Lytechinus pictus: one gene and its partners. Each later gene encodes a partner of the first gene's protein in a complex. Links are inferred from orthologs where the notes say so. Each region holds a gene or a part of one and is shown on either strand. Other genes may lie near its edges. The genes, in order: DNA-directed RNA polymerase III subunit RPC5-like, DNA-directed RNA polymerase III subunit RPC4-like and DNA-directed RNA polymerase III subunit RPC9-like.

The links.
Region 2: DNA-directed RNA polymerase III subunit RPC5-like (region 1) and DNA-directed RNA polymerase III subunit RPC4-like share a complex: the UniProt entries of both Homo sapiens proteins name them as parts of the RNA polymerase III complex. The link is inferred for Lytechinus pictus from reciprocal best matches to the Homo sapiens genes POLR3E and POLR3D.
Region 3: DNA-directed RNA polymerase III subunit RPC5-like (region 1) and DNA-directed RNA polymerase III subunit RPC9-like share a complex: the UniProt entries of both Homo sapiens proteins name them as parts of the RNA polymerase III complex. The link is inferred for Lytechinus pictus from reciprocal best matches to the Homo sapiens genes POLR3E and CRCP.

The regions. Positions count from the first base shown.
Region 1 is NC_087254.1:1,610,356-1,617,691, reverse strand, and holds the start of DNA-directed RNA polymerase III subunit RPC5-like, read right to left. Parts: upstream 3,058-7,336; 5' UTR 3,011-3,057; intron 1,316-3,010; 5' UTR 1,295-1,315; coding exon 1,238-1,294; intron 1-1,237. UniProt on the Homo sapiens protein: DNA-dependent RNA polymerase catalyzes the transcription of DNA into RNA using the four ribonucleoside triphosphates as substrates.
Region 2 is NC_087247.1:56,498,576-56,506,081, forward strand, and holds the start of DNA-directed RNA polymerase III subunit RPC4-like, read right to left. Parts: upstream 3,069-7,506; 5' UTR 3,023-3,068; coding exon 2,879-3,022; intron 2,387-2,878; coding exon 2,337-2,386; intron 1-2,336. UniProt on the Homo sapiens protein: DNA-dependent RNA polymerase catalyzes the transcription of DNA into RNA using the four ribonucleoside triphosphates as substrates.
Region 3 is NC_087246.1:31,251,254-31,258,664, reverse strand, and holds the start of DNA-directed RNA polymerase III subunit RPC9-like, read right to left. Parts: upstream 3,082-7,411; 5' UTR 2,984-3,081; coding exon 2,976-2,983; intron 1,265-2,975; coding exon 1,228-1,264; intron 237-1,227; coding exon 138-236; intron 1-137. Other genes in the region: serine/threonine-protein kinase Chk2-like, read left to right, coding at 6,349-6,556. UniProt on the Homo sapiens protein: DNA-dependent RNA polymerase catalyzes the transcription of DNA into RNA using the four ribonucleoside triphosphates as substrates.

The DNA of each region.
Region 1 (7,336 bases):
CAATGAACCCAAAGAAAGAAAGGGCGGAAAGCAGAATACACTAACAGAAACAGGTAGACTTTAGGTGCACATGCCAGAACAAACTACTTTCCATTAAAAAAATACATTAAAGGACAAGTCCACCCCAACTAAAAGTTGATTTGAATAAAATAAGAAAATCAAACAAGCATAACACTGAAAATTTCATCAAAATCGGATGTAAATAAGAAAGTTATGACAATTTTAAAGTTTCGCTTAATTTCACAAAACAGTTATATGCTCATCCTGGTCGGTAAGCAAATGAGGAGACTGATGACGTCATCCACTCACAATTTCTTTTGTATTTTATTATATGAAATATGAAGTATTCTAATTTTCTTCTCATTGTCAAGCGAAACAATGATGAATTCCTCCATGAACATGTGGAATTAGCATTGTTTAATACTCTATGGTTCATTCAAGTTAGTCCTTATTGTCGAATCTGTAAAAAATGAAATATTGTACAATTCAAACAATAGAAAACAAAAAGAAATAGTGAGTGAGGGACATCATCAGCCGTCTCATTTGCATGTCACTGAGTTGTGCATATCTCTGTTTTGTGAAAAATAAGCGAAACTTTAAAATCTCATAACTTTCTTATTTTACAATGGATTTTGATGAAATTTTCAGCATCATGCTAGTTTGATTTTTCTCTATTTATTCAAATCAACATTTTTCTGGGGTGGACTTGACCTTTAAGGGCAAAAAGGCAAGAGATGGGGTTTATACATGCTACAAAGGAGAATGGCCCAATGAAGTAAAATGTCCCAATACTGGATCTAGATACTACAGATATATTTTCTATTGTTCTCATGAATAGTAACTGATTTTTGTCAGACATACTGTGCATAAAGTGGATATGTAATTCAACAATGTTAATAATCAACTTGCAGGCAAGGAGAAAATATAGGAGAAAAGTTTTGGCCAGCCTAAATTCGATGTCATGGACAAGCTTTTGGCTGGCTAAAAATCTTGATGTTAATGGGGATGGGTATCTGCTCAAAAACAAAGCACAGTAAACTACACTAGAAGGAAAACCTTTGAAACAAAATTAGATTTATATCACAGTGCTTCACAAAAGAGAGATGTGACATGTTTTAGGAGGAATCCCACGAACAGACTTTCACAGTGGCTTTGACTTTGTTAAAATAAGAAAAGATGCTATTAAATGGATCCATGCTGTAATATGCCATTCAAACCTTTGTTAATTGATGTGTACCTTTTTCTGTTTAGGTTTGATCCGAGCTGATGTGTATTCAAAGTCATCATAGGACATGTGATTGGGACGAACTGGATACTGAATGCAAAGATAAAAAAAGACCAACGTAAAATGCTACAGTCATAGAAATAGGAAAATGCAATATATAACAAAATCATTGTAAGAAAACAGCAAAAGAGAAATGAGAGGGTGAATGTATAAAAGAAATTGAACAAAGTATAAGGGGATGTTATGTTAACTCAATTTATTTAAACCTCAGTAGGCATGTTCAGATGCCATCTTGCACTCTCCCCCATCTGTCTAATGAAAACAAGTGGAGTGCCTCTGGCAGTCTCGCCTGCATTACGCGATTTGATATAGCAGCAGTGCTGACTTTGAAAACAGCTATTGAATAATTATTCACAAAAGAAACATTCGTATGATAATAAAAAAGGGACAGTGAGTTATCGTTTCAGAAAATCTTATATTCCATTTCAGCATGTCTGAAAACAGAAATTCCGTTTCCCCATAGACTTTGTGTACATGTACATGAAACTGTGACAATTCCGTTTACATAGAAAATCAATACGCAATTTGTATCGATGTCAAAATGCTCGCACTGGTCAAAATTTGTATCTGCCACTGTACTAACAATGCTTTAAAATCGATTTTAATCGAAGATATTTGAGCACAGATCCATAAACTTTCAAAGTTATGATGAATATCAACAAATACCCCCAACATGGCCAAAGTTCACTGATCCTAAATGAACTTTGACCTTGGTCATTTGACCTGAATCTTTGGCATGGTGTTCAGTAATACTTGATTACTCTTATGTCCAAGTATCATGAACTAGGCGCATAACCTTCGGTTAAGATTTTGATATTGATTCCCCCAACATGGTCCAAGTTCATTGACCCTATATGACCTTTGACCTTGGTCATGTGACATCAAACTCTGGCAGGATGTTGAGTAATACTTGATAACCAATATATCCAAGTTTCATGAACTAGGCCCATATACTTTTTTTTATTTATGAATGATGACATTTCAAAAACTTAACCTTCAGTGATTGACGATCCTGATGCTGGGGGTTGAAGTACCCTCAAGGTTTATGGGGGGGGGGGGGGGGGAGGGGTCCGTCGTGCATGTGTCATTTAGCATAGTCGTCTCGCTCTGCTTTGTTGCACACAATGAAAGGATTTGAATAAATCACAAGCTCTCCCATTAATACATGTAATGCAAATCCCTTAATTGGGTTTACAATTCTTTTTTTTTTAATAAGAAGGAACATACATGTATTCAATGCTGATCATACAAGGTGGCTCATGAATCACAAGTCTCACTTGATTTCACAATCAATAAAATATGCACTATGATCTTTTGACCCCTCGATGACCCTTGACCAGTCATCCTTAAGGACACACATGTGGTATTACACAACAATTGTATGTGTACCAAGTGTGAACATAATTGATGAAGAAATGAAGAGCAAGTTGGACAAATTGACCTTTTGACCCCTAGATGACCCTTGACCCCATCATCCTCAAGGACATGCACACATGGAATTACCCTAGGATTATTTGAGCCAAGTATAATAATCAAGATTGATGAAGAAATAAAGAATTGTTGATGCTAAAAGCAATGAGTCTTGATCTGCTATGCAGGTGAGACAAAAATAAAATCAATATGAATAAAAATGTCAACATGAAATATGGGAATTTAGGAAGAATGATGTTGTTTCGTTTAGACATATTTATCAGCAGCTTGATTTTTCATAAAACCATTTCTCACCTGAAAACAATACAAATTTTCAGCCAACTCCTTTGAGAGGTAAACATCGACCTGAAATGAGAAAAACAAAAATAATACAGAATAAAATGAAAGTGTGTTTCATGTATTTTTCATCTTTAGCAATGTCAGTATCCATAGGGCACCTTACATGTAGTTGTTAATTCTCATTTTTTCTAGCATTTTCTCCAACTACCATTTCTTTGTTTTCTTTTCAATAGAAACTAATGCTCTTTCCAATAACCAATTTACAATTGTTTAGTTTTTCACTAAATTTATCTGAAAATCGGTAATTCAGTACATCAATGTTCCCCAAAACTCTTTAAGATTTGATAGCTTTAGTTGAAAGTAAGTTCCAGTCACAGACCACTCATCCAATGTTGGAGGTTAGATACAGAGTTAGATAAAAATGTCCCATCAGTTTGAAGCTGTCTTGTCTAAAGTATAGGTTCCATGACACTTGCTCTGGCGACGAGTCTTGCCTGATTTCGCGATTAATAAAAGATGCAATATTTTCTTTCTTTCTTCCTTCCTTTCTTAATTCTTACACTCTAAATTCCAAGGACTTAAAAGAACTCCAGATTGGCTGTGAATAGTGACTTTCATTTTTTTAAGTCATTGCCACTTCTTATTTAATTCACCCGTCTTCCTCTTCTTGTTTTCCTATTTTTTATTCTCTTCTGTTTTTCCTTTTTTTTCTTTCCCCCTTTTCTTTTTGCTCCGCCAATGGGGGGGCTCGGATCTGCCTATGGGTATATAGTCACATTATATTAAGTAAAAGGGTTGGAAGCAGAGGAACATAACATAGGGGAGATTGGGGTTAATTTATGCAATACTGCCCTCAATTTATTGCCATTATCAACAGCCATCCACCATATTACAGACAACACTGTACAATAAGCCTGGTAAAGTTAGAAAGGAATTTTCGTTTTTTCAACTGAGTATTTTTTTTCTCTGTCAGAAATGTTTTATTATCTCAGAGAAGTTTATAGATCAAGTTGGCCAGTTTGGGGGTATAATAGACACTTGCACCAAGCTACAAAATAAGGTTATTAATATGCCATGGTGAAGTTCCTTTTTTGTGCTGTAAGCTTACAAATGCTACATAGGCCCAGGGTGCTACATAAGCACTTGCCCAATTGCCCGGGGCAAGTAAAAGTTAGAGTCAGGCAAGTTTTTTAAGTAAAGACCAAGACTACTTGCCCAAATTGGGCAAGCAAAATGCTTACAGTAGAATGACCAAAATTAGGGTCTATATGATTTTGGTCATGGCAGGCAAGATAAAATCACTTTGGAAAAAGAAATGCAATAAGAAAGTAGATCAGTTCATGTCAAAACAGAGAAAAAAGGTCAATGGTTTATAAAACCTCAAAACTTTCTTTTGGAGAAAAAAAACACAAAATTTCAAAGATTTTTTCAGGCGAGTGAAATAGATTTTTGGGCAAGTATATTCCAACTATTCATAAATTTACTTGCCCGACTGGGCAAGTACTTTTAAAAAGTTATGTAGCAACCTGCATGGGCCTCTGGGGCTAGTTGAAACAAAATTGAAGGGGCTATTTATAACATGTTCCAAGTTACCCCAAACATAAATGAATAAAACACTGGATTTGAGAAAATAATGTATACAATATTTCACACTCTTTTGAATATGTATTGTAAACCATGCTTGTTTTGAGTGTGCATTTAAGGACTACTATGGGCCCCTTATGCAATATTAACCCTTATTAACCCTTAACCCTCAATTTGAGTCCCCCCACTCGATAAATTTGTCACTTCACCGTCGCGCGAAATTTTCTAACTGCACCGCTCACTGACTTTTTACTTTCAAGTCTTGTGCATCATTTGAGACCAAATTTGCGATGCCCGGGTGAGTGATTTCAAAATCATGCAACATTTTGTACGTGCATGTCGGACCCAAAATTGCTCGAATGTACAAGGTCAATGCAAATTGTGTTTTTCGAACGAAAATCATGAATATATGATTATTTTAAAATTTGCTCGCTCAAATGGATTTATTAATATGCAAAAGGGTCCCCAACAAAGTTCATCAGAAAAAAAGGAAAAAGAATATAAAAAAAGGTTCGAAAAAACAAAGAAATACAAAGACAAGAGTGTCGCTAAGGCAAGCACATTATACGCCCGCCTGTAATGCAGAAAAATGGAGTTAATGGTCAAGCAAGAAAAGTGGAAGGTGGCAACTTTACCTCTGACCTCAAAATCGATAGGCTTCCTGGGATCCATGCTAGTATCATACACACCAAATTATATGAGCCTAGATTAAGTTAAACTAAAGTTATCGCGTTTACAAGGATTTCAGAAGGGTAAGATGAAAACATGTCAATGTGACCTTGACCTTTGACCACTTGACCTCAAAATCAATAGGCTTCCTGGGATCTATGCTAGTATCATACACACCAAATTATAGGAGCCTAGATTAAGTTAAACTAAAGTTATCGCGTTTACAAGGACTTCAGAAGGGTAAGATGAAAACATGTCAATGTGATCTTGACCTTTGACCTCCAAATCAATAGGCTCCTGGGATCCATGCTAGTATCATACACACCAAATTATAGGAGCCTAGATTAAGTTAAACTAAAGTTATCGCATTTACAAGGACTGCAGAAGGGCAAGATGAAAACATGTCAGTGTGATTTTGACCTTTGACCATTTGACCTTAAAATCAATAGGCTTCCTGGGATCCATGCTAGTATCATACACACCAAATTATAGGAGCCAAGATTAAGTTAAACTGAAGTTATCGCATTTACAAGGACTGCAGAAGGGTAAGATGAAAATATGTCACTGTAACCTTGACCTTTTGACCCCAAAAGTAAAAAGGCTTCCTGGGATCCATGCTGGTATCATACATATACCAAATTATATGAGCCTAGGGTAAGTTAAACTGAAGTTATCGTGTTTACAAGGAAAAGTTAACGGATGGACGAACAGACACCGAGCGTGATACGTCCCGTCAGGATGGGCGTATAAAAAACAAAAAATACATAAGAAATTATACTTTTTGCAATTTTTTCGTAGGTATTTGTTACAAATGTAAAAATTGATGCTCTCACCAAAAATTAGCATTCTACTAGCTAAATAGATTAAGTTAAAGGCAAAAACATACACCAAAATTTTTTTTTTTTAAAGGGCAAATTTCATGTTTATTTGCATAATTAATTAATTAAAAAATATAAACAATTTATCTTTGTCATGTAAATTTGATGCAGAAGTACATTAAATTGATGATACACTTAATTGCATGTAAAATCAAACACTCATAAATATGCAGAATTCTACTACACAGTCGGCTTGCATGAGTGGCTGTATAATATAGAAAATATAAAGTTCAACATATCAGAATACACCTTTAATATTTTGAACTTGAAAAAATAAAGCAAATAGGCTAAAACTAAAATATCACAGTTGTAAGTAGTTTAAGTATAATTTTTAATTGACCATGCAGTGTTCCAACTTACCCCATACCTCGTTCCAACTTACCCCGTATATGGGGTAAGTTGGAAAGCTTGCGATGGTCTTGTTCAAGGTGGATTGTTTTTCAGTAACCATCATAGAGTTTTAAAGTTTCATGGGGTACGTTTGAAGCCCTTAGATATATGCTTTAAGCTGACATATTGTTTCTCAAATCTATTTGGATTTTACAGCCATTTTTGTCAAAAATATTCTCAAATAAACCCCAATATCCCCTACCAACGCTTATATACTAACTTTTTCATGGATACGATGAACCTTCGAGAGAGCTTGTCATCTATCTGTATATATCTAACCAATGTAATTAAATTGTATACTGTCTTTTGGGTCATTGTCAAGTGTTAAGAAAAATCCATTTGAGATCGATAATTAGGGAGTGGGCCTATATTGGAATATCATTATTAGGTTTACCTCGGGCGAAGTTCGTGCAGGCTCCACTCCACTTCCGCTACACTACGCTCCAAATACCCGAACTTCGTGACGGTGAACTCGATCGGATATTCGGTGTCACAAAGGTGGGATGGAAATCATGTTTATTGTAAAAATTAAAGAAAAACAATATAACAAGAAAGATAAATAACTTAATATCTTACTCTACACCCGTATTTCACTCCGTGTCCATCCTCCGGTTATCCTCAAAATTGGTGATTTTGGGCCAGTATCAATTTCCTCACACATATTACTCACGGCCGATTTCAAAACATCGCATGCGATCGGCGCGACCGATCGCATGCGATGTTTTGAAATTGGCCGTGAGTACGCGTACGCATGCGAGGTTTTGAAATCGGTCGTAATATGTGTGAGGAAACGGAAAAAATATAATTTTTTTTTTTCGGG
Region 2 (7,506 bases), on another chromosome or scaffold:
ACAAACAATCGGCTGCCCTCCCCCCCCCCCCAAAAAAAAAACGGAGAAAAAAGAAGAGAATAGGGAAGAGAAACGTAATGGGAATGAAGAAAATATTGTACATTATAATGTTATATTATTATTATACTGTATATATTATGTTATTACCGTACATCATAAGAAATATTTTTTTTCATAACTTTATGAAACATACTTTGCTCAGGGCCTATTGTGTTCATCGTTCCTGGTCTCGCATTGTCTGTTTAACGAGATATATAATTCTAAAACATATTTTTTTCAAGTCAATATACACCAAATATATTTCCTCGCACTTCGAGTTATTATTTAATTGTTTTATATAGTGACATATCCTTCTTTTTCATGACTACTTAAATTGATTGCCACATTTTAAGGTCTGCATATAAAACATTCCCTGTCCGTGCTTACGTTCGCATTAGTGGATTGGTGAGATATGTCTGCTCTTCATGAATTCCTAAAATCAGTTGTTAAGGCCCACATTCCACAGAACGGAGACCATTGAAAGACCACTGAAAAACTTGAAATTGGTGAGGTCTTCCAGCGGTCTTCAAGATCACTGAAATTTGTCTTCTCTGTGGAATGGCTAAGAAAGACCCCTCAAAGAACTCTGAAAGACTCATGGATATTTCTTGTCTTACTGGTCTTAGACTAGTCCCATAGAGATCTTTCAATGGTCTTTCAGAGATCTTTTATGCAACAAGTGATCTTTCTGAATTTTTTCAATGGACTTTGCCTGGTCTTTCAATGATCTTTTAATGATCTCTCATGAATCTTACAGTGATCTCCGCAAAAATCTTGAGAGACTGCCGAAAGATCATTGAAAGACTATTAAGACCTTTGAAAGTTCATCGAAAGACTGCTGGAAGACTGCTGAAAGACCACTGAAATGCCATTTTCCTGTAAGACCGTTTTAAGACTGTTTTGAACCATTTCAAAAAGTTTTGGAGCCCATGAACACCACGAAGACCACTGAAAGATTGGTCAGGACTCGTGTAAGACCTCAAAGACCATTGTAGGTTCATTGAGAGACCTCTGAAAGATCAACCAGAATTCATGGTGGTACATAGGTCTTTCAGCGGTCTTGTTCTCTGTGGAATGGGGGCTTAAAATATCTCTTTTTTCTGATCTAAATATCAAAGTTTTTCAGATTGCGGTTCGCGCTCGCATCATTTGGTTAGTATGGTCTTAGTGAATTTCTACAAACAAGCCTTAGAATGCCACTCTCCAGGTCTGAATTTCCTTAATTTTGAGCTCGCGCTTTGCGCTAGCTATATTTGATTAGTGAGATGCGTATGTTAATCACGATTACAATGACTATGTGTTTAGATGTAATTCTAACAAAATCAGAAGGCGCTTGGCACTCGCATTAGATGACTATGGTGAGATATGTATATCCTAAACTTCTTAAAAAATAGTCCTTAAACTGTCCCTGTTTGGGGTCAATAAATACAAAAATTTCAGCTCAAGCTTCTCGCTCGCATTGTTTGTTTAGCGAGACAGGTACGTATTATTATTACACAAAAATTTGCTTATAATGTCCTTTTTTAGGTCTGAATATAAAAAAATTTTAGCTCGTGCTTCGCGCTCGCATTATTTGATCAGTGAGATACATATATCCGCTTAATGGCACAGTCCTTAAAATCTCTCTATTTAAGGTCAGTATACCTGGCAATTGAGCACGCTTTGCATGCTCACCAAATTTGTATTTACACGCTGCATCAGCTCGCGATTCAGAACAGCGAGCCGATGCAGATTCAGCTTTTTTGTTGCGTGTAAACGCGATTAACTTGCATCGGCTCTCAGTGCAGAATCAGCAATTTTGCACCACCAAAGTAGTAGGTTCAGAACCGCGAGCCTATACAGAATCGGCTTTTTTTCTACGTGTAAATAGAAAGCCAATTCTGCATAAGCAATTGGCGTGCATTTCATTTACTTTACCATTATGACGTACTTGGAAGCCCACGGATCCAGCGTTGTCTTTATTATGACGTATATTGTTGGTGCGTGGATCATTTCAGGTTTTTGCTACTCGAGCAGATTCTGCACCGTGAGCTGTTACAAACGCGGTGCAAGATAAACCAAAAGCCGATGCACTTGTAAACACGGTATAAGTGACTCAAAATTTTTGCTGGTGCCCCCCAATGACGTGACCCACAGTACGCCACTGATTAAGCATCTACAAAGATCAGCCTTTTCTGATAGCAATGTATAATTCATTCTTTTCATGGTTTAGTACTGGTAATCATGTTTTATGTTTTTCTGGAATGCTGACACTGACAAGTCTGATATACAAAGAAAAAAAAAAGAATAATACTTACTCATCTTTGTTTTTTTCTCTTCTTACTGGTATATTGGGCTTAAAAGATTTCTGCAGACAAAGAAAACAACAAAACATATAAACTTACAATCTTATCAGGACTACATTCAAATTTTATAGAACTTCTTTCTAATATTCAACATGTAGTTTTCTTTATTCTATAGACTGCTACACATAAAACATTATTTCACTGCTCAATTATCCCTCTCCTCTTGGATCATTTAAATATACAAAATTCAATTTTTGGTAGCACACCATTGAGAAAGCAAAAGATAGATTAGAAATTAATTTGTCACTAGGACAACTAGAAATATCACTAATTGAATATATCATCACCAGAGCAACAATTTCTGACCCATTCGATCTCTCAAAGATCAATTTGCATGTGAAGTCTAATAAACATAGGTGAAAATAGAGGAAGTAGTTTTATTTGATCTACAAGATTTGCAATGGATAGACGAACGACCCAACCATACAGTGACCTTTATGTACTAGATAAAAGCAGTAAATACCAAGTGTTAACATCAAAATGGCTATAATTACCTTTGGTATGCCTCCTAGAGTTAGGTCACGAGTGCGTAGCGAAGGCAATCTTTCACTGGGTTTAATAACACTCCCTCGTCTATTGATAAGCCCACGAGGGATACTACCAGGTGATCCTTGACCTTGAGATGGTTTTTCAGCCATGACTTCTATCTGCTTTTAATCCTGGAAAATGGTAAGGTGCTCTGCTAAAAGTAAAGAGAATCCAAATGATAATGTTAGTCTTAAAAAAGGAAGGAAATAATTGCGCCACCACAAGTCCTCAACTACTCATATCTGGCCAGGATAATGCAGCATTCTGAGCTGTATAGTCTTGTAATATAGGCACACTTGAATGAGAACACACTAACTGACCACTCAGCTCAATACATTCAAACCACAGCATTAATTATGTTACTCAGTAGCAAAACAAGTACTTTCCTAATAGTCTTGAGACTCTGTATACACTGTACGAATATTGAATTACTAAATTATACAAATTATACATTAAACCTGATCTAACTTATCCATTAATAGACGGGTAAATATACAACCAAAAATAGCCTGACCCGGAACAAATTGCAACAAATGATTTTTCAACGGTATTTTGTACTATTTGACCTCAGGAATAACATACTAAAAATCTACCAAAATCCGCATACGGGAAAGTGGTTATTTTCAAGATGGCGTCCAAGATGACCGCCATTCACTGAAAATGGATACAACTGACACATTATCCACCCAAGAATCCTAATTCGGTTCATATTCCATGGTCTGGGGGTAAAAAAAATTGATTTAGGCTAGAATGAATTATAATCCCTCCAGTGTACCAGGCAAATCCAAGATGGCACCCAAAATGGCTGCCGTAGGCTGAAAATCCACAATTCATCTAAATTTGTTTTTTATTCAATGGTTTAAGGGTAAAATAGTACATTGAAACAAGTTACAAGGACAGCCAGTGGTCTGGTGTGTCCAAAAATCCAAGATGGCTTCCAAAAATGGAGTTTAAAATGGCTGTTGATAATTAAAATGGACATAGTTCATTTCATATCCGCCTGGGACATACTGCTTTTGGTGTCTAGACCACGATTTCAATGGTCAAATAAGACATTGGGACAATTTACAAGGACAGTCATTGGTCCAATGTGTTCAAAAATCCAAGATGGCTTCCAAAAATGGAGTCGAAATTGCTGTTGCTACTTAAAAAAACCCGACATAGTTTGCTCAATGTCCAGAAATATGATTTGTGTGTCTATACCATGGTTAAATGGGTCAAATAATACATTGGGACAAGTTTCAAGGAAAGTCAGTGGTATGGTATGTGCAAAAATCCCCGATAGATTCCAAAAATTGATTCTGAAATGGCTGCTAATACTTAAAGCGGACAAAGCTCATTTCATTTTGGCCTGGGATATGTGATTTTGATGTCTAAACCACTGGTTTCAAGGGTCAAATAATATATTAGGATAAGTTACAAGGACAGTCAATGGTCTGGCATGTCCAAAAAATCGAAGTTGGCTTCCAAAAATTGATACTAAATTGACTGCTGCTACTTAAAGCGGACATAGCTTATTTCATATCGGCCTGGGAGATGCGATTTTGGTGTCTAAACCACTGGTCTAAGGGCCAAAATAATAATAAGACAGGTTTTAAGGCCAGTCAGTGGTCTGGTATGACCAAAAATCCAATATGGCTTTCAATGCCATTCAATCATTTGGCCAAAATTATACTTACTGTAACTTATGTTATTTTGTACTTTGTATTATTATTGTAAATTGACCCTTTCAGCCCTGCTGCTGGTAAATATATGTGCATATACCAATAAATAGATAAATAATAAATAAAACCTGATTTTAAAATGGCTGTTGATACTTAAAAGTGGCATAGCTCATTTTAAATCCGCCTGTGAGATATGATTTTGGTGTCTAAACTATGGTTTCAAAGGTCAAATTATATATTAGGACAAGACAATGGCAGTCAGTGGTCTAGTATGTCCAAAATTACAAGATGGCTTCCAAAAATGGAGTAAAAAAATGTATGATGTTACTTATAAAAGGATATAGTTTGTTTAATATCTGTCTAGGGATATGAGTTTGGTGTTCAACCATGGTTTAAAAATGTCAAGTAATACACTAGGGTAAGTTTCAAGACCAGTCAGTTGTCTGTATGTTAAAAAATCCAAGATTACTTTTAAAAAATGGGGTGTAAATTGACTGTTGCTACTTAAAAGTATGCATAGTTTATTATAAATACACCTTGGGCTTGGAGGTATGATTTTGCTGTCTATACTAGGGTTTACATGGTCAAGCAATACATTGGGTTAAGTTGAAAAAACAGTCAGGTGTCAAGTATATCCAAAAATCGAAGATGGCCTTTAAAATGGGGGTCTTAAATGCCTGCTGTTACTTAAAAGTGGATGTAGAACATTATAAATACACCTTGGGGATATTATTTTGGTGTCTACACTAGGATTTCAAGCGCCAAACAATACTTTGGGACTGGTTATCATGATATGCAGCTATCCATTTTGCCTCCAAATCCAAGTTGGCTTAAAAAAGGGGTTCTAAAGTGACTACTGTTAGGTAAATTATCTACCTGTTAGAAATAATCTTGGTTCTTACACTTAAATGCATGGGGACAAGTTATTATTGTTTCATGAGTTGGTAACAGCACCAATTTTGATGAAATTTTAGAATCCGTCCTGGATTCTTTGACAAAATTGAGTACTAACCATCCTTGTTACTTGTCCGATTGTATTATTTGACCCTTCATACCACAATTTGGACACCAACATTTTTTCTCACAGATGAATATTGTAGAACTCTGACCACAATTAAATATGAGTCGTTTTAGATTCCTTTTTTAAAAACCCTCTTGTGTTTTAGGCAAACTGGACAACTGCATATCAATGTAACAAGTCCAAACGTATTGTTTTAACCATGAAACCATAGTGGACATCGAAATCATATCTCCTTGGTGGATTTAAATGTCCATTCTAAAATTAACAGCAGTCATTTTAGACTCCGGTTTTTGGAAGCTTTCTTAGATTTTCGAAATACTGGACCACTGACTTTCCTTGTAGCTAATTTTCTTCCTTTTGAAACCATGATATAGGCAACAAAATCATATGCCCTTGACGAATATAACATGAACTATGTCCATTTTTAGATACCATCGCAGCTAATTGATACTATTTTTTAAGCCACCGTGGACTTTTGGACATACTTGACCACCCATCGTCCTTGTAACTTATCCCAATTTATTATTTGACCCATTTAACCATGGTATAGGCACAAAAATCATATCTCTCAGGTAGATGTGATATGAGCTATGCCCATTTTAAGGATGAACAGCCATTTTAAACTCAATTTTTGGAAGCCATTTTGTATTTTTGGACACACCAGACCACTGGCTGTCCTTGTAACTTGTCCCGATAAACTACTTCATCATTAAAACAATCGAATTGAACCCAAATTAAAGCCACTTAAGTAATAGATGGATTGTGGGGTTTTTAGAATACGGCAGCCATTTTGGGCGCCATCTTGGAGTTTCCTGGTACCCTGGAGTGCTAATATTCACTCTAACTTGTATAAATGAAATTGTTTACCCATTGGACCTTGGAATATGAACCCAAATAGGATTCTAGGGTGGATAATGAGTGAGTTATATCAATTTTTAGTGAATGGTGGCCATCTTGGACGCCATCTTGAAAATAACCACTTTCCCGGATGCAGATTTTGGTAGATTTTTTGTATGTTTTTCCTGAGGTCAAATACTGCCAGAAACAGTTGAAAAATCATTTGTTGCAATTTGTTCCGCGTCAAACCATATATTGACCCGTCTATAAAGGGCAAGTCCAAGAAAAGGTCACCTTTGGCTTTGGAGACTAAATTTCATCTCTATTTCAAGAAGTTATGTTTGGTTGGATAAAGAAGCCCAAATATTGAATTTTTAAATTTTATTAAGAAAATTTTTTCATTAGGCAAATTTGGGGCCCCTAATTTACATAATTGGTAAAATGGGCGTTACTTATGGTTGTACAATTATAAAAACTCATAAAGAATCAAAACAAAACTTGTGAGATTTAATCATAGATGGGACATGGACCCCCTCCCCATCCCAACATATTATTACTTTTTTGGGGAAAATAGTGGTGTCACCTAATTTTTATATGCAAATTAGGTCTAGTCAAAGGATGGAAAGTCTCATACGTAACATTTTGAGGACGTTTTTTTTAAGTTAGTTGAATTTCTTAGAATACAATACCTGTATTGTTGTGTCTGTAGGAAGTTCTAATTTACTGAGTTCGAAAATGATATAATACAAAAAGTTTACAAAATATATTTCACTTTTTAAATAATTGTTACAAAAATGTTACATACGGGACATTTGTACACAATGTCAATGGGGAATCAATTTTGTGTACAAAGTCGATGGGGCAAAATAAATTTCAAGAGTGCTAAAAAAAGTGATTTATTCACCTTTTCTCATTTCTTTAGTTTCTTAAGATATTGATTAATGAAAATAATTGAAGCAGAAAAAATTGCAAATATATGAAAAAAATTAAAATCAATAGAAATACATAAGAAATTCATGAAATCATGAAAAATAAGAAAAAAAATGTTGAAATGGCAAATTTCCTTTACAGT
Region 3 (7,411 bases), on another chromosome or scaffold:
CTGTCTTCAATTTTCTTCTATTTAGAATCAGAGATGCACTTGCTGCAATGAAAATTCTCAATAGACTACATCCCAAGATTACATGTACTTGGGATAAGTCTCAAACAGGCTGATTTTAGAATAGTTACATAACATACCTCATAGGATATTGTGGCAAGGTTCTGCTGCTTTTTACTGATGCTCTTCTTCCCTCTCTGAGAGCTTCCCGATTGTAATTCTTTAAGCAGAGCATGGACCTGAAAGATCAAAGAAAGATGGAAAGTTCAACAGAGCTGCAAGTAGTACTCCAGCAGCTCAAAAGACATAACTGTGAGATAAGTCATAATTTCATATGTGCCACACAGTATGATAAATTTCTTAGAGGTATATAGAACAGATGCACAATGTGCATAAATGCAATGTTTTTCCAACCCAACAGGACGGTTGTCAGGAATATTAATCTAGGGTGCAACATAACTTTTGTAAAGCACTAGCTTGCCTAGTCAGGTAAGTAAATATCACCACTGCACGATGTATTATTATGCGTGTATTAAATGTGTACATACCTACTATAACTCAGAAGCGTAATAATTAAGGCCAAAAGTGTAATGGCGTAATTTGACATGAAAATCATAAAAAATATGACTTTTCTTAATAGTTGGAAACTCTGGTTCAAGGCATAGGGGTCAAAGGGCATCACATTCTGTATTCTGTCTTTGAAATGGTAAATTTAAAGGAAAGTTAACCCTGATATCAATTTGATTTGGATAGAAGCAGAAAATTAGGGAAATGTATTAATGAAGGTTTGGAAAAATCCATTCAGGAATAAGAATACAGATCGGTTAAAGTTTAATTTTGTGACATCACATGCAAGTAGCTCCCCAGCAACAGTAATAAAATCTAAATTATTCTAATTTGTCAGAAAATTGAAAACAATTTTATCTGTGCATTTGATATAGCATCAGACACTTTATTTTATACACTCTTTCATGACTAAATATTCTGGCATAAAAAAGGTGCCTTTTCCATGTAATTCTCTGGTGACTCTAATCAAAATAATCATAGTACATAATCATTCTTCTTTCAAAATGTGTGTTTGAGCATGTATTTCTCAATTTTCAGTGTAAATATTACTTTATACAGACCGATTTATTTTTACACCCCACCACAACTGGTGACAGCATTCTTACTATGCTATCAAAACCAAAAGTCAACACCATAGCTTGAGGGTAACTTAAAATTACTCACCTCAAAGTTGCTCAACATAGCAGCACTTTCTTTGATCCTGTAAATAAAAGAAAAATGAACCCTTCATTTTAAAATACAAGGAAGCAAAAACTTCATTCTACATGTACATATATTTTTATTTTTACTTGCATCGGCCGATAAATATCATAAAAGATTTATGATATTTATCGGCCAATGCAAGTATTTAACGATTCATGATATTTATCGGCCGATGCAAGTATTTTTTTAAAATCTAAATTGGCACTGCTCATGATATTGTCGCCCTCTATACACGCGTCTTGTATCTAGGTATCGATAACAAAGACGGCGAAAATAACAGACTGGGTAAGTAAACGCTCGTACTCTTAATAATTTCTCTAATTTACTACTATTTACTGAATAAATAGACGCAACGTTATCATATTCAGGGGTAAATATTGTTTTGGCCCATTTACGTTAGTTTGGGCTCAAAACCCTAATAAAATGTGTGATTTAGGTCTAATTTCACCGTGGGAACACCTACGGTATGTGTAGAGCAATGGTATCCCGACCAAGGCTTCATGGAGAGTAAGCCTACGTATAGTAGATGACTTTTACTCTCCAGAAGCCTCCAGGCTAATTCTACCCTATTTTGGAGAGTACCCATGCTTGGAAGGAAAGTAGAAATCTCGGGGGCGAAAGTTTCAGGTTTTTTGGCGGTACACGCAGATGAATGGGATGGAATCCCTGGCTCCTTGGAGAGTAAGCATACGTTAGTAAATGATTTTAGCTCTCTACTCCTCTAGGACTTAGAGCCTCCTGGCTAATTACATGGACGAGTCCGGGTGTGTCACTGTGTTCCATAAAGCTGTTCATAAGTTAAGTTAAGACAATAAGAGCGACTTTAAAAGAACGACTGGTGATCCTTTCTTGTGGAAAATGGTATATTCATTGGTGATGGTTAAGCGCGTAAGAAAGGTTCACCAGTCATTCTTAAAGTCGCTCTTAACTTCCGAACAGCTTGATGAAACGGCCCCCAGGGCTCCGGCCCGTGAAGCGGGCCGTAGCTCCCCGGGACCGGGTTAACGTCACATCAGTCAGACTCACTGATCTGAGTCTGATACCCCTTTCATATTCATAAACCCATCCTCTAATTAGCCGCCTAAGCCTAAGGCTAAGAGTAATGCGGATAATTCAATAAAAATTGCGTTCACAAACTCCGAAAATAATCCGCACTATTTTTACGAGCGCCCGTCCTGAAAAAGGGGGATAATCGTCATGGCAACCGCACACACCCCCTCCGATGCAGTTGTGTTGGAAAAGGGTGACCTTGTGAGTTGTGACCGCACCATCATGCCATGGGCATGGCAATTATCCGTATAATCTATAACGCCAACGGTATGTCATGTAATTGTACTTTGGACATGCGTTCATAAAGTCAAAATCTGGTCCCGATGCCGCTATTATGCGGATAATTGCAGCATCAAAATGAAGCGGATAACTCTGGTCCTCCTCCGATTTTACAACCAAATTATGCTGCTATTAGCCGCATGATTGGGTTTATGAAAGGGGTAAGACAAGTGCAAGTGAGACTCACTCACTCACACTCACTCACAGACACAACCACGGCACCATGGCCACAGTCACACATGCACGTCACCGACGTCCGACTCTGCTTTTCCAAACACGCCAAATAAATTTGACTAAATAAGTAGAATAAAAATCACCTTTCGTGCATACAGCATAACAAAATGAGATGTTTGTTATCATATTCCCTAACAAATACTTACACTTCCATTGTCTTCTTCGGTCTTTCGGTCGCGTCTTCGGAAGGCTACAGCGAGCTTGTTATGTAGTCCCAATCATTTTCTTTTGTGCATTGTTATTCAAGTTTTCGGTATGGTATCTTTCAGTTATGACCGACATGAAAATTTGCCTCAGTTTTACATAGAATTCCAGTTTGATCCACTAATCTTTACACTATATAGACTAGATACAGATCAGTGGCTACTGGGTCATAGATGTTCATTATTATAATACGCAAGGATCTTCAGACTTCCACCTAACTAAAAAAAGCACTTCTTTAGCAAAGAACCAATTATCTGGAATAATTACAATTTTCTGTTAAACCTAGTCCATCATTTAATGTTTTTAAAAGGAGATATAAAACCCAACTTCTAAGCAAATATTCTAATAACGTATATTCAGGTGTTTTTTCTTCTTTCGTTTTTATAGTAATTATTGTTGATATACATCTATGTCTATATATTTTGTCATTGTGTCAAAATTTGTATTTCCCCCTTTTTATGCTCAATGTTTATATCTGGTATTCAGTATTAACATTTTTATTACATTACATATTCAGTTTCCAGTTTTGTAAAGGTGGCAGCACTAATAAGGCTTTGCCTTTCTAGTTGCCTCCCCATTCATTTATATATACTCTTTTTTTCAAATGTTTTCCAGATTTGTATCATTGAATTATTTCATTGACATAAATTGTAATATATGTTAACTTTGCATGTACCTTGTTTTGTTCTGGTTTTTATGATGAATGGAATAAATGCTATCAAATAAAAATATGTATATAATAAAAGGGGTGGTCTGTATTATCCCGCGATAATTTACAGAATAATATCATACTGATTATATGGCAAGTATGATTATGATGATAAGGAGGAAGTTGAAGATGATCGATGATCATAATATGTTTTTTTTCAAGAGGAGTGCTTTTTGGGGGCTAGATATGGCACATATTGGGTAAAATTTATAAAAGTTGCAAGAGAGCTAGGCGAGCGAGCAAAAATTTCAATAGTTTTATAACAAAAATCTAATTTTGTTATAGATTTTGACATAATATTCAGAAAATGATATTATATTAAAGATTCAAGGATACATGTATTATTTCGTTTTTGAATGAAGTATTTTTCCGGCATAAAACATATCATAAAGTGGGGGGGGGGGGTGGGGGCTTCCCCTGTCTCCTCTGGGATTTCCGCCCATGATGGTAGTGATATGAAAATGCATGATAACCATCAGTTTTTCTTTCTTATTTTCCATCAAAATTTGTTTAGTTTTCTATTTTTCCAAAACAATTTTCCCCATTGTGCTGCACTCAACCCAGGTGAGGTGAATGGGTATCCGGTATATAGGATTAATTTCTTGAATGCAATTAGCGCTGAAAGGCAGCTCGAGCTAAAATAAAGTGGGGGTAATAATAATATTAAACAATGCGGCTCGGAATAGATTATTTCTAGATTGATGGCGTATATAAATGCCTAATATTATTATTATTAAAAATTTCATCTCGTGCTTCACGCTCGTATTACTGATTAAATAGTTCTTATGAATTACCTATTCTTCTTGTGAAAATAAAGATATAGCTTGTACTTATAAGACTTCAGTCTCAAGGACTACCCTACCCAACTGATGTAAGGAGGGGGGGCTTAAGGGACCATGGAACCTCCCCCACAAGTTTCACAGCCAAGAAAAAAAAAAGGAAAGGGGGTGGAATATAATAATATTTTTTAGCATTATGTCGAAATCCATCACAAAATTAGATATTTGTGTAAAAAAGTTCTAAAATTTTGCTCACTTGCTGCTTTTTTAGAAATTTATTTTGCTCCACATGCCATTTATGGACCCTCAAATTTGTTTGGCTCATATGCCATTGACCCCCAACACCCCAACGCCCCTTCTAAAAAAAAGTCCCTGAGAACCTACACTCATAGACCTTTACATATAGGCATATAAGTGTAGGCTACCATGAAGGCCTTATTATACATGTTTTTCCATATCCTTCATGGTTTTAGTGTTAGGTTTCATGACGCATGCATGTGGATCCGTACAGCAGAGGGAACACGGGGGGGGGGGACTGGGGCAGAGATAAAAATTGCAGGGCCGTAGAGGTTAAAAAATGTACAAAAATATTATTAAAAAGGAAAAGGCAGAGGTTAAATATATTTTTGTATATACAAAATGTTTCCCAATGTCTTTGTTGTAGGTGAAAGCTACAGCAGAGGGGGGGGGGGGGGGGGGGTTGTCGTTTATGAAATGACCATCGGAATACGACAAAGTAGGCCTATGCTTTCCTACAGAAAGGAACTGCATGTGCTTCTCCGCCAATCAGAATGAAATAAAGTTGTCAGACCAAAAATGTGGGTGGAAACGTCTCCCGCAGCCGCGCCCCGAAGTTCGTAAACTCTCTTGCCCCTGGGCCACCTTTCTGAAATCTTAGGGAAGCAGTATATTTCTGAACACTGTCTTAGCTCCTTTATTTTTCTAACATCCAGAGACAGGGGCGGATCCAGGATTTTCCAAAGGGGGGGGGGCAAATTTTTCGAAGGAAAATTTTGACAAGCCCCCCCCCCCCAAAAAAAAAATAAAGGTTTTCAACCACAAATTAAGGATGTTTAGAACCCGAAAAATTTTGACAAGCAAAAAAAAAAAAAAGGTCTTCTATTTCAAAAGAGGGGGCATTTTTACATTACAAATTCTAATTTTGCTTCTCAAAAAGGGGGGGGGGGTGGGCATAGGGGGCACGTGCCCCTGGATCTGCGTCTGCTCAGAGATATGACAAAATCGAATCGATATTCTGGGAAATGCCATGACTTTTATCTTTTCTCTGGACGTACCGCCTGTCAATGAGGCCCCCGGGGTCAATGATCATGATCAATAATTGGGAATCCCCTAGCTGATCGAAATCCTGGATCCGCATATCATCCGGATACATATACCCTAAGGTCGTTGACCGCAAACGCGCGATCGCCACGTGGTTTGTCAGCTGATTAGAACTAGGCCTGCGATACGGTGTGTTTTGGATTTTTACCCCAAAGAACTGACAATTACTTGGATTTTGCTTGCAGAATTCAAAATCAAACGAAAGAAGTTGTTTTGAAGTTCATTGAATTTGCAGAAACTATTGGATTGTTGATGTCATCTTCTTACCCAATGAGCTAATTCAAAGATGGACTCAACAAGGAAATAGTCCAGTGGCAGTGTTCCTGAATCTCGCGCCGCAGTATTTCGTGCCGCCGGATTGGATACCTACGTCACGGTACATCTGCCGGGTCAGAGTGGCGGAGGTTAGCCTCGAGTTTCCGCTGAGCACTTACGTAGCGCACTCGGCCCGGCGTTCCCGTGTTTACTACTGCATGTGTGTGCGACATGAGCTTGAACGGCTCGAGCTCGAGTTCCGTAGAGCCCAACACCACATCGAGCAGTGCGAGTGCAAGTCTGTCATCCGGGGGAACTTTGTCGAGTATGGAGACTATTCCAACGCAGGAGGTTGCTGAAGGAGATTTTGATTTTGTGGAGGAGAAGGTGGTTGTTTGGGGTCGTCTGTATCCTATTGGAAAATGTTTTAAGAGTGTTGGTAGGTCTGACTTCTAGTTCTAATACTAATATAAACCCTCTAATCCTAAATATTAGAATTTACTTGTATTGCCAATGAATAAAGGCAATATACATGTAGTACTAGTAATAATTTAATACTAGTTGTGCAGGTCATTGTCACTAGCCCCTACAAATACAATACCATACTTTCATCGTAAGTTAGGCTATAAAATCAAGAGATCAGTCACTAAACTAAGTTCTAAACACTTACAAACAGTGTCAGCAAAAATCTGTACTTGCCCTATTGCCCGGGGCAAGTAAAAGTTAGAGTCGGGCAAGTGTTTTGAAGTTAAGACCAAAACTACTTGCCCAAACTGGGAAAGCCAATTTCTCACAGTGGAAAATTAGGGTCCACATTTTTTATATGATATCGACCCTAATTTTGGTCACATGTAGCAGGTAAGATAAAATCACTTTGGAAAGGTCTACATCAGTTAGAAGTTCAATGGTTTATAAATCCACAATGCTTTCATTTGAAGAGGTAAAACTTTTTTTCAAGGATTTTTTGGGGCAAGTGAAATACATTTTTGGGCAAGTATATTCCAACTATTTAAAAATTTACTTGCCCGACTGGGAAAGTGCTTCTAAAAAGTTATGTAGCACCCTGAAGTGGTAGTTTAAATACTTTAAAGATTTTTATATTTGTTGAAAAATGAATGAAATAGGCAGAGCCGAGTCACCTCAGGCTCAGCTTTTCGCTGTGTTGTACACATCTGAATGATCTGATCCAAACTCGATTTGAAACAGTTGGCTTAACTCTAACAAATTGTTCACACATGCATCTACTGTGCTAGGTGCTGATGGACAAATCGAAAACATCAATTTTTACTTATTC